3 linked regions of the Sus scrofa genome follow. The protein of the gene in region 2 purifies or fractionates together with the protein of the main gene of each other region. This does not show direct contact. Links are inferred from orthologs where the notes say so. Each region holds a gene or a part of one and is shown on either strand. Other genes may lie near its edges.

What was found. Proteins that work in one complex are often made in the same cells at the same time.
Region 1: the proteins of CUL4A (region 2) and CDKN1B purify together in Homo sapiens (affinity purification with western blotting; 5 studies listed by BioGRID, with this or other methods). This does not show direct contact. The link is inferred for Sus scrofa from reciprocal best matches to the Homo sapiens genes CUL4A and CDKN1B.
Region 3: the proteins of CUL4A (region 2) and COPS8 purify together in Homo sapiens (affinity purification with mass spectrometry; 10 studies listed by BioGRID and IntAct, counting the BioPlex papers as one, with this or other methods). This does not show direct contact. The link is inferred for Sus scrofa from reciprocal best matches to the Homo sapiens genes CUL4A and COPS8.

Annotation. Positions count from the first base shown.
Region 1 is NC_010447.5:59,732,991-59,736,686, forward strand, and holds the start of CDKN1B (cyclin-dependent kinase inhibitor 1B), read right to left. Parts: upstream 2,842-3,696; 5' UTR 2,800-2,841; coding exon 2,325-2,799; intron 1,779-2,324; coding exon 1,657-1,778; 3' UTR 1,649-1,656; intron 1-1,648. UniProt on the Homo sapiens protein: Important regulator of cell cycle progression. Inhibits the kinase activity of CDK2 bound to cyclin A, but has little inhibitory activity on CDK2 bound to SPDYA. Involved in G1 arrest. Potent inhibitor of cyclin E- and cyclin A-CDK2 complexes.
Region 2 is NC_010453.5:78,556,170-78,559,839, forward strand, and holds the start of CUL4A (cullin-4A), read left to right. Parts: upstream 1-860; 5' UTR 861-1,042; coding exon 1,043-1,196; intron 1,197-1,768; coding exon 1,769-1,884; intron 1,885-3,670. Other genes in the region: PCID2 (PCI domain-containing protein 2), read right to left, coding at 506-541. UniProt on the Homo sapiens protein: Core component of multiple cullin-RING-based E3 ubiquitin-protein ligase complexes which mediate the ubiquitination of target proteins. As a scaffold protein may contribute to catalysis through positioning of the substrate and the ubiquitin-conjugating enzyme.
Region 3 is NC_010457.5:136,826,682-136,830,428, reverse strand, and holds the start of COPS8 (COP9 signalosome complex subunit 8), read right to left. Parts: upstream 2,208-3,747; 5' UTR 2,067-2,207; coding exon 1,989-2,066; intron 1,007-1,988; coding exon 936-1,006; intron 1-935. UniProt on the Homo sapiens protein: Component of the COP9 signalosome complex (CSN), a complex involved in various cellular and developmental processes.

The sequences.
Region 1 (3,696 bases), on a different chromosome or scaffold from region 2:
GAACAGACACAGGAAAATTAAGGAACTGTTAACACTTAAGAGTAGCAAAATTTTCTAAATTTGAAAAATAACTGGAAATAGAAAAGCTCACCAAAGAAAATTCTATTCACCCCCCCCAAAAAAAAAACTAGTTTCTCAGTCGTATGAAGAGTATACACACATGAATGCTTGAGAAGAGGTCCTTACTACTATTTCCTGTATTCGCTGAACTGGCAATATTTACTAACAAATGCCTCTCTGTATGTCAGAATGCGGCCAGATCAAAATCCAGTAGGTCTGATTTGCTGTGGCTCATCTGATGAGCTAGGCCACGAGTCACCAACCAACAAGAGCCACAGGTGTTAAGGTTGACTCAGAAATTTTTTTCACTTCATATACAGCTATAACGTAGGGTTCGATAGTGCCGTGTTGTATAAGCTCTGAAAGATATCAGACGTATGTAATAAAGTCCTACCTGTGACACTGATGTAAAAACACAACAAACTTGAACCCTACCTTCATCCCTGTTCTTTATTTTAAAATTTTTATAAATGAGGATTTTGAAAGTTAATGTCAACATCTCTTAGGATCTCTTTAAATGCTAAGCTATGAGGGTGTTTGTGGAGGGGAAAAAAAAGAGGTCACGGTCATTGTCTGTAAGGAGTGTACAAACTATTAACTAATATATGTAGTTTGATCATTATGGAAACCAATCCATGTAAAGCTGGGGGGCTGAATTATGCAAATTAGTTTTTTACATTGATCAGATTTTAGTAGGTGGAAAAATGTCCACTTGCCTTGTTCGGGGTAGCCCTAACCAGTGGCAGCCCTGGTATCTACTATCCATTTCCCCTACAAATATCCAAATTATCCTGTTATAGCACGATTAGCATACACATGCTGACGTGTTCCTGGATTGCTTACTCTGGCAGAGTTACTTAACTTCTGCTTTGTAACTTCAGTGTTATCAGAAATTCCATAGGAACCTTAGCGTTTTTGAGCCTTCCATTTTGGTTTTTTTTAAATACACAGGTTCCTTCTCCATCCCCCACACTGATCAGAAAACAGGGCAAGTGACACTTTGTGAAAACGATAGATAAAAGAAAGCCACACTCCTCTCTATTCACATTTCTAACCATGTGATTAACCAGATATGAGCCATTTGTACCTAACTTTTCCCTCAAAGTTTTAACTGGATCATTTATTTGCCATTTTTTTCCATGTATGGCTCAAAATCTGTTAGAGTCAGCTTGGTCCTCTGGGAGATGAATTCTCCTGAAGTGGGATGGAGGCAGACCCCCGCTCTTGTTCAGATGGAAAAAGAACCTATTGTTCCCAACACCGTTTTGATGGGACTCTCAGGGAACTGACCTTCCTACCCACAGGGCCTTGGTTGCAAGTATTTGCCTGGGACACTTGCTCTAATCATTGGGAGCTTCAAAGGAAAATGATCTCAGGACAGAGAAACTGGGAAGAATTATAGTACCCCCACCCTGATGCCCAGTCTTTCCCATTCCTCCTTTTTTTGGACCTCATAAAATACAAACAAAACCCCACAAGCTCTAATCTGCCAGACACCACTAAGATCGGGTATCTTGGTGTTTGAAAACCCATGAGTTCCTTCAGCCCAAATCGGGTGTCACTTATTTGCTTCCAGTGATCAACCCACCGAGCAGTTTACGTTTGACGCCTTCTGAGGCCGGGCTTCTTGGGCGTCTGCTCCACTGAAGCCGAGTTCGGGGAACCGTCTGAAACATTTTCTTCTGTTCTGTTGGCTCTTTTGTTTTGAGGAGAGGAATCTAAAGGCAGGAGGGAATTTTAAAAAGAACACACACAAATAATCTTTATTAGAAAAAACAATGGCTGACACAAGTTGGCTCGATACTGAGGGGACAAAAAACCCACCACCTCCACCCACCATCCTGGATCCGTCATTCCCAGTGGCCTTTAAGGGCACAAAATGAGGTTGTTTTCACATAACAGAAAGTGTATTCTACGCCCCAAATCTCTCTCTCTCCAAAGCGAAGAGGGAGGTGGTTGATAAACATCCCAACGTTGTCACATACCTACAGCTGGCTAGCGGGGAGGAGCCGCGATGTTTTCAGTTAGAGAAATTATCAGATAGCACAGTCTCATGCTTCAGACTTAAAAGTCATAAACAGACCAGCAGCTAGCCAAATAGCATTTAAAACCTAAGATGAGGAAGGTGTGTTCCCCAAGAGCTAAGTCAGAATGCGCTGAAAAGAAAGCGGAGGTTTAAGATCCTCAAGCAGGGAAAACAGCACGGCAGACAAACAGAGAGAGGCAGACAAACAGACGTTTCATGCATTCGAAAGGGTCATTACCGTCTGTGGCAGGTCGCTTCCTTATCCCAGTGCACTGCTCCGCTAACCCCGTCTGGCTGTCCGGTGCATCAGTCTTTTGGTCTACCAAATGTGTGTCCTCTGAGTTGGCCTGAGACCCAATTAAAGGCACCGCCTGGCGGGTCCCGCTGACACCCTGGCCCTCCTGCGCCGGCACCTTGCAGGCGCCTTTGGGTGGCCGCGGGGGTCTGTAGTAGAACTCGGGCAAGCTGCCCTTTTCCACCTCCTGCCACTCGTATTTGCCCTCCAGGGGCTTGTGATTCTGAAAATCAAAATTCCACTTGCGCTGGCTGGCCTCTTCCATGTCTCTGCAGTGCTTCTCCAAGTCCCGGGTTAACTCTTCGTGATTGACCGGGCCGAAGAGGTTTCGGCAGGCCGAGGGCTTGGGGTACTCCGCCTGTCTGGCGTCCATCCGCTCCAGGCTCGGGCTCCCGTTAGACACTCTCACGTTTGACATCTTCCTCCCGGGGCTCGGCGACCGCCTCTCTCGCGCTCTCGCAAAACAAAACCGAACAAAACAAAACGCCTCGACCCAGCCCGAGCCCCTCTTATAAGCCCTGCGGCTGCCCTCCGAGCCAAGAGAAACAAACACCGACGAGTAAGCGCCCGAGCGTCAGGAGCGCGCTGGGGCTGGGGGAGGGGGCGAGGGGCAGCCCGGGCCAGGCAGCCCCGAGTCTCCGCCGATCAAGTGTACGGGCGAGCTGGAGGGCGGGGAGGGGAGGGGAGAGGAGCGCAGCGGAGAGAGGAGGGGGCAGAGCCAGTCCGAGTCCCCGCCGCTGCGAGCCCGCGGGTCCCGCCGACCGAGCGGCTCTCCAAACCTTGCCGGCGTCGGAGTCGCGGAGCGGCGAGAAAGTGGGGACAGGGGAGGGGGAGAAAAACACCCCGAAAAGACGAGCCCCCTTTTTTTAGTTGCCCAATATGGCGGTGGAAGGGAGGCTGACGAAGAAGAAGATGATTGACACCGCAAGTCTATTTAAACAGAGGAGGAGATCATTGGTCGCGGCGCCGGGAGCCGCCCAGCCGAGACTGGCGAGCTGGGCCTTAAGGTGGCCCCTGAGCCGCCGCTGCGCCTCCCCGCCTCCCGAGCGCGCCGCCGCCGAGCGCGCGGCCGGGAGCTCGACTGGTCGCGTGACTGCTGGAGGTGCCGGGCTGCCAGCAAACCTGCTCTGGCTGGCCTCGGAGAAATTAAAAATAAGACAAACTCGCCAAAAGGCCGGGGAGCCGGGGAGGGGCCTGGCCGGAGAGGTGGCGGGTTCTGGTCCCTGCGCTGCGCTCCGCTCCGGAGCCCCGACCTCCCTCTCCTCGCCGAGGGCGATCTTATTTTCCCCTCGCTCGCCGAGCGGGTAGGGGCGGG
Region 2 (3,670 bases):
TTCACCAAGTCTCCGCAATGTCTCCATATATTCTAAAAACCCACTCTCCCCCTTTCCCTGTCCTGATTACCACGGTTCTAGTTCTGCGAAATAGCATGGCTCAGGGGAAAGACTACAAGCTTCGAATCCACAAAAACATATTTGCGCTCTCCCGTTGCATTTGGAGCCTGTTTAGACAAAACTCCTCAGAGACACAAATCCCAAAGGACATAGGTACGCCGAGCGCCAACACAGAACCCCCTTGCAGTCGAACCACTTGCTTTCCCCGGCTCCTACATCCACCACTGCCTGTCCCCCGTCCCCACACGCCCCTGAATTGAGGGCACGGCCGCCGGGGCTCCCGAGCCCCCAGGGTACACGGTGAGGGCGCCTGCTTCCCGTCTGGCGGCCAAAGGCTCCGGCGCAGCCGGCGAACGGACCCGCCCGGGCCCCAGCCCGCTCCGGGCCGCAGCTCAGGGAAGCGGGAGGTCAACCGGCAGGGGGCCCGATGGTCGGCGAACGTTACCTGCTGCAGGTACTGGTTGAGGGTGATGTGCGCCATGGCCGCGCCTGCAGTGCGGCGGAGCTGCGCGCCCGTCGCCGCCTGCTTGCGTCACTTCCGGGCCGCGGTCCGTCCCGGCCCCGCGCCCCCCGCCCTCCGCGCACCTTGGTTCCGGAGGCAGCCTGTGCGCGGGAACGCGAGCCCCGGGCCGGCATGGCGGCGCGCCCGGGCTGAGGCGGGCTGGGGGCTGCGCTGCGACTCCCCGAACCGCTCGCGAGGCCGCCTCGTCCGCGCCCCAGGTGCCCAGGCCCGCCGGCCGCTCGCCTGCTGCGAGGTTCCACACGGACCGCGGCGGAAGCGGACTGCGGCGCCCGCGAGCTCGGGGCCGGGTCGGGCCGGGTCAGGTCGGGTCGGGGTCCGGCGCGCTCCCGAGGCCTGAGGCGCGCGGTCGGCGTCGGGATCCGGCGGTTGGACCGGGCCGGGCCGGACCGGGGAGCGCAGCCGGGGGAGCGGACAGGCGGGCGCGGGCGGAGGCCCGGGCGGGGCGCTGCGGCCGCGGCCATGGCCGACGAGACCCCCAGGAAGGGCAGCTTCTCGGCGCTCGTCGGGCACACCAACGGCCTCACCAAGCCCGCGTCCCTCGCCGCCGCCGCCGTCACCTCCAAGCCCGGGGGCAGCGGCGGCTCCAAGAAGCTCGTGATCAAGAATTTCCGAGGTGGGTGCGGGGCCGCGGCGGGGCGGGCGGGGGTCGCTTTCCCTCCGCGGCTGTGTCGTCGGGACGGAGGGTTCGGCTGGAGTTAAGTTCGGCCAAGCAGCGCAGGTGTCGTGGTTGGCGAGGCCGAGCCAGAACGAGTGGCAGCCCCTGAAGCGCTGGGTGATGTCGCTTAATTTAATTACTTTCTCCGCTGTCACTGTCGTTATCTGGGAGCAAGCGTCTTCGTCCCACACAGACCTCCCTCCCGACGTTGAGTAATTTAACTCAACTTTAAATCTGGTCGGGGCTTAACTATTCCATGTTTGTTTATTTGTAACGTCTCCTTACTTAGAAGACTACATGTGTGTGTCCTAAGTATCAACACTGCAAGTATTTACCCAGCAAAAGAGAGACATTGTGGTCACATAGTCTCTAAGCCAAGGAAGGTGTAAACACAGTGCTTCCTTTGGGGAAGAGCTACTGCCCGTATTCGTCACCTAGGTGTCTTTGAGTCCTTTTTTGTAGAGTTTTTTTTTAAGGTGTGTGACTCTTGGCATGATGCCCTTCCCCACTCACTGTCTCTGGATTTACAGACAGACCGAAGTTGCCTGATAACTACACTCAGGACACCTGGCACAAGCTTCACGAGGCGGTGAAAGCCATACAGAGTAGTACCTCCATCAGATACAACCTGGAAGAGCTCTACCAGGTAAGACTCCACCTTTGCAAACAGCGGGGCTCCTTAGGATTCTCACCTAATTTCTTCAGGGAGAACGTCCAGGCCTGGGGGCCAGCATCTTGTTTTTCACTTACCGTTTTTTGCAGCTGTCCAAACCACACGGTTGTGCACTTCCACGAAATGTGACACGGGTGCGGATTCCGTGGGCCTCAGTATTGTCTCAGCGAAGGAAATACTAGAAATCCAAGTACAGGCCTCCGGCAGAAACAGTGGGAGTTCTGCGAGAGGACGTCCCCAGGGTCAAGGAGGATTTTCGGGTTTTGGCGCTTGTGGGATTTTTATTTTCTTTTCAGGCTTCAACTGTCTAGAAAGGCATTTAAAGTTAATTCATCACAGGAAAGCCATATGTTTCTGTGAGCCATGCGACTCTGTTTTCCAAATATGCAGCAAATGTTATTAAAATTCCAAGTTACGTTATATATAAAATTCTCATGACAGTTTCACTTGTAGATTTTCCCTGTCTTCATTGTACTTTGTGATTAATTATTGCGGTTAAAATGTGCAAACAGGTTTTGTTTCATTTGATTTAAATTAATGATGTTCTTGTTCTAACATAAGAAAAAATGGTCGAAAGTATGTTTCACGGTTGGATATTCCACTTACAAGCAGACTGGTTTTTCTTTTCTGGTATCTTAAAGACTAACAATTTGTCAGCTGGGCCTAATATCACCCACGTTTTAGGTAATGACAGTACAATTTCTATTAGGAGACTTGGATTTTAAGTTTTTTCTTTTTCTGTAAGTGATTACATTGTAAAATTATGGAAACTATAAAAAATACAAGGAAAACAATTGAAAACCAACAAAATTAGAAACCGTTGTTGTGCAGCGGAAGCAGATCTGACTAGGAACCATGAGGTTGTGGGTTCGACCCCTGGCCTCGCCCAGTGAGTTAAGGATCCGGCGTTGCTGTGAGCTGTGGTGTAGGTTGCAGATACAGCTTGGATCTGGTGTTGCTGTGGTTGTGGTGTAGACCGGCAGCTGCAGCTCTAATTTGACCCCTAGCCTGGAAACTCAAGTATGTCCCACGTGCAGCCCTAAAAAGCAAAAAAAAAAAAAAAAAAAAAAAAAATCACCTATTCTCCCACCACCCAAAGAAAACGTTGACAATTTGAGGGACATATGTCCCTTCTTTGTCACAAGTTTGTGTGAATTTATTGTATTTTTTTTAAACTCTTTGAATTTTATTGTATTTATAGTTGTATAACCATCCTTAGAGTTTTTGGTGTTTTAATCACCTTTAATAAGGTAGAAATATGTAGTTTGTTAAGTTTTAGCAGGTGTACCCCACAGTCTAACCAGCAGCACACTGGGGACCACAGTGGGTGTTTCCATCATCCAGAGTTCCCTGAGGCCCCCTTGAATTCAGCATCTCCCTCACCCCAGTCCCTGACCTCACCGCCCTCCCTCACCCCCGTCCCTGACCTCACCGCCCTCCCTCACCCCCGTCCCTGACCTCACCGCCCTCCCTCACCCCCGTCCCTGACCTCACCGCCCTCCCTCACCCCCGTCCCTGACCTCACCGCCCTCCCTCACCCCCGTCCCTGACCTCACCGCCCTCCCTCACCCCCGTCCCTGACCTCACCGCCCTCCCTCACCCCCGTCCCTGACCTCACCGCCCTCCCTCACCCCCGTCCCTGACCTCACCGCCCTCCCTCACCCCCGTCCCTGACCTCACCGCCCTCCCTCACCCCCGTCCCTGACCTCACCGCCCTCCCTCACCCCCGTCCCTGACCTCACCGCCCTCCCTCACCCCC
Region 3 (3,747 bases), on a different chromosome or scaffold from region 2:
CAAAGTAACATTTTGCCATTTTTAGTGAATTTTTAAATTAATAATCCAGATCTTAAATTAAGGTTACAGTACAAAGACTTAAAGAGGACTACCTAAATAATTTAGTCATATATAAAAATAAACAGATTCATACACTTTCAAGGCACTGCTGTTCCCTGACAGTATACAGGTACACAGTGCTTTTCTCCATCTCATGACCCTTCCTCCTACCAGTGGCTACAGAGCCACCACACCTTCAAGGCAGGATTTTTTGGTTTCTTTTTTTTTTTTTTTTTTTTAAGAGTTTGGAATCTTGAACGATAACAAACATATAATGACATGATTATAAAACAAGAAACATAATTTATACAATAGATGAGTAATAAAAATCTCAGTTTAGTTTAAAAGATGCCAAATAAGAAGGTTTACAAGAATTTTAAAACAAAACTGAACAGTAATCATGGCTTTCAGAACATAAGGACTCTTTTTTGCGCAGTTATACTGACTTGTCTTCAATGAACGTGAATGAGGAATAATTAAAAACAAAACCTTTCAAGAAATCGCATACATGACAGTAACAAATTCCTCTTAGCTCTCTCAATTTTCCCTTTCGGTTTCTCTTAGTCTATCGATCACATGTGACATTAAGTAAACAGGTCATAAAAGACAGACATTTCATAACAAAACAAAAGAGAAGAGACTAACAGATTTAAAGGAATTTACTGACACTGTAGTTCATCGTAACAGATTGAAAAATTTTAAGAAAGATATAAGAAAAGAAGTGCATTTTAACTCAGCCTAATCACGATTTAAGCCATGATTCAGTATATGAAATAAATATACTATTACAATAAAATGTAAAGCTCCTTCTGTCTATGTTTTAGTGATGCTACTTCAACGCAAGAATAATTTCTTCAGGAAGCTGTTTCTCTTAGCTTTAGGTAGAAAGTACTTACATGTCATTATGGAGCAGATATAAAGCTAGAAGCTGACCATACACTGGAGGTGTAGCAATTCCTCCTGGAGCCTTTAAAGCCAAAAACAAAAGAGAAAAAGCTCATTTATTTGTATACTTTTGTATTTTTCAAAGCATCTAAAAAGTAAGCATATTTCATAGTACTTACCCTTACAGATGGAGAAAAAGAGAGTGTCACACACTAAAAGCCAGAGTGATAAGTTTAGATCTGTCACCAGCTATGAATTATCTCCCTCTGGGCCACTGAGTTTATATATGCACGGGAACATTTCAGTGGGATCCCTTTCCCAGTTCTCAAATTCTTATTTAAATGGCCTTACTGTTACAAGAGTATTTCCCACAGATTCCTCAAGTATGATGATTCTGCCCGTTACACCAGGTATGTTGAAAATCTAGGTAAGTGAGTAACGAAGAGAGAAATGTCACAGCTGAATGACGAAGACGTTTCTCTCCTTGTTCAACTTTATTCAGAAAATCATCTGTTAAGTGTCTATTAGTGAGCTGCTGCTTCTGGCAGTAGTCTCTTTGGGTTAATTAACTTTTTATACTGATACTGTACATGCTTGTAAGTGCCTTTCTAAGAAAATTAAAAAAAAAAAAAAAACCCTTACTGTTAAGACCTTCGTGAAATAATTTCACCAGTCCTAATGAAGCTAAGACGGCAAGCTTCCGCGACATGAGACTAAGGACTTTCCGAGTTAGGAACAGGCTACAACGCGCACACAGACTCCCTCACCTCTCCCCACGACGGGGAGGAAACATCTTTAACCCGAGAAGCATATTGGAGAGTGTTAGGAGCAAAGACGCACAGCATTTTCGGGCTCACTGGCTGAAGACAAAACAACAAAAAGCCCCCAGCAAGTTCGGGGAGGCGAGGCCTGGATGCTCAGCCAGGAGCAGGCCCGGCGTCCCGGGCTCCACACGCCCGGCCCCGCGCCCGCCCCAGCCCGGCGGGCCCTGGGCCTCGGGCCCCGTTACCCTGGAGACCGGCGCCGCACAAGGCCACGCGCGACCCCGAAAGGCGAATGGCTACCTCCAGCTCCTGGTTCTCGCACTGATCCAGCAACTTTTTGAAATTAAAGGCACTTTCCGCCATCACCGCCACTGGCATCTTCCCGGCCGGTCCCGCCGCCGTACCTCCCCTTCTAGCTGGACCCCAGACTTGTCCCTCCGGGCGTCGCGCCCGCGATGACGTAAAAGCCGCCGTCGCCGCCGAGCTCCCGTGCGCAGGCGCATCATCGGTTCCGGCGCGTCATTAGACGTCGCTGCGGCCTGGCGGGGTCGCTGCCGCTCTGGCCCGTGCACTCTATGTCCTGGAGGACTCGCCTGGCGTCTGGGGACGCGGCTTTCGGAGCCAGGGAGGGCGGGGACTGGGGCCGGTCTGCGGACTCTTCGCTGCCTTTACTCTGAGGCCACGGAAATTTTAAAGTTCAAAACCCAGCTTTCGGTTCCTCCCCCCGCCTCCTCCTTCAGCAGCCCTCCCGCTTCGGTGCAGGCGGTGCGGTCCTTCCTGGGGGCTCCCCTCCTGCAGGCCCCCCATCCGAGAGCGGCTGCGCCAGCGTGGACCACCCGACAGGGCCTGAGCTCGGTCCTCTCCGGACCTCACTCCGCCTCCCTCCAGGCTACTCCCGGACAGCCACCGCAGCCAAAATGATGCTTTTTGAAACCTAAGTCGTCTTGTTATTCTTCTGCTCAAATCCCTAACAATCCAGAGTCTTTGGCATCGCTCACAGATCAAATCCCCAGATCCCTCCGACTTGCTCCAGCCATCCTGGCCTCCTCAGTTTTCTGCGCAGTCCTAACGAACGTTGTATGGTGCGTTATTTATTTATACTTTGGTTTGCTGCCCTTGCCTAGGCCGCCCTGCTGCAGGGTCAGCCGCAGGATTTGTGAGCCCAAAGCAAATTGAAAACGCACATCACTAGTTCAAAAAGCAGAAGGGAAATTACCCGTAAAGGCTATAGAATCTAAAGCTTTTCCCTTATTCCGCAGTGTTTCAACTTTTCATAGCATTCTAAAGTTTGCTATTTAATATTCTAAGAAAGGGAAAAAGCAAAAATTTCAATTATTAGCATGCATCTTACCATCTGTCTTTATATTATACGAAGCCAATTTTAAAGGCGAATATAAGTGCATTTAACTCATGTGGAATCACAGAAATCACACAATTGGTAGACGTAACACTTTGTTTGTACTTAAGCTGGGTCTTGCTGAATTCCTATCATTTGGGGTCGACTGGGAATTCTGCATTCATGGGGTATTTTAAACACTGTGGAGGGCAGAAAACGCATACCTCAATCATCTCTTTGAGTGTCTGTCCTCCCTATGGACTTGCCAAACCCATACTCGAAGATAAAATTATTTAGGATTCCAAGACAGTGACGGTTTCACTGATTATTTTTGTAGAATCAACACTTTCCATGTGGAAATGGTTGTGTTTAGTTATGCTTCAGATAGAACATAGAGATAAGAAAAGCACTGCAAAAGTTGCTCAAAGAATTGCCAAAAACCTTAAATAGGAAGGTGTGCAAATAGCTGGTAGAACTCGAGATATTTTGGGGGAATGAAAGCAACACACTTTCATTCGTCCAAAAAAAGAAAAGAAAAGGGACTAAGGGTAAAATGATTCTGAGATCATTCGACAAAGTTTGAGGAACAAGATTTTGAATTTTCAACATGTGATAATGGCTCCCAGCCTATTTCTGGCCAAGAAAGATTTCATTGGGAAGATAGTTATTTCAGAACTCTGAAATTTCATTTCTTTTTTTTTTTTTTTTTTTTTTTTTTTTTTT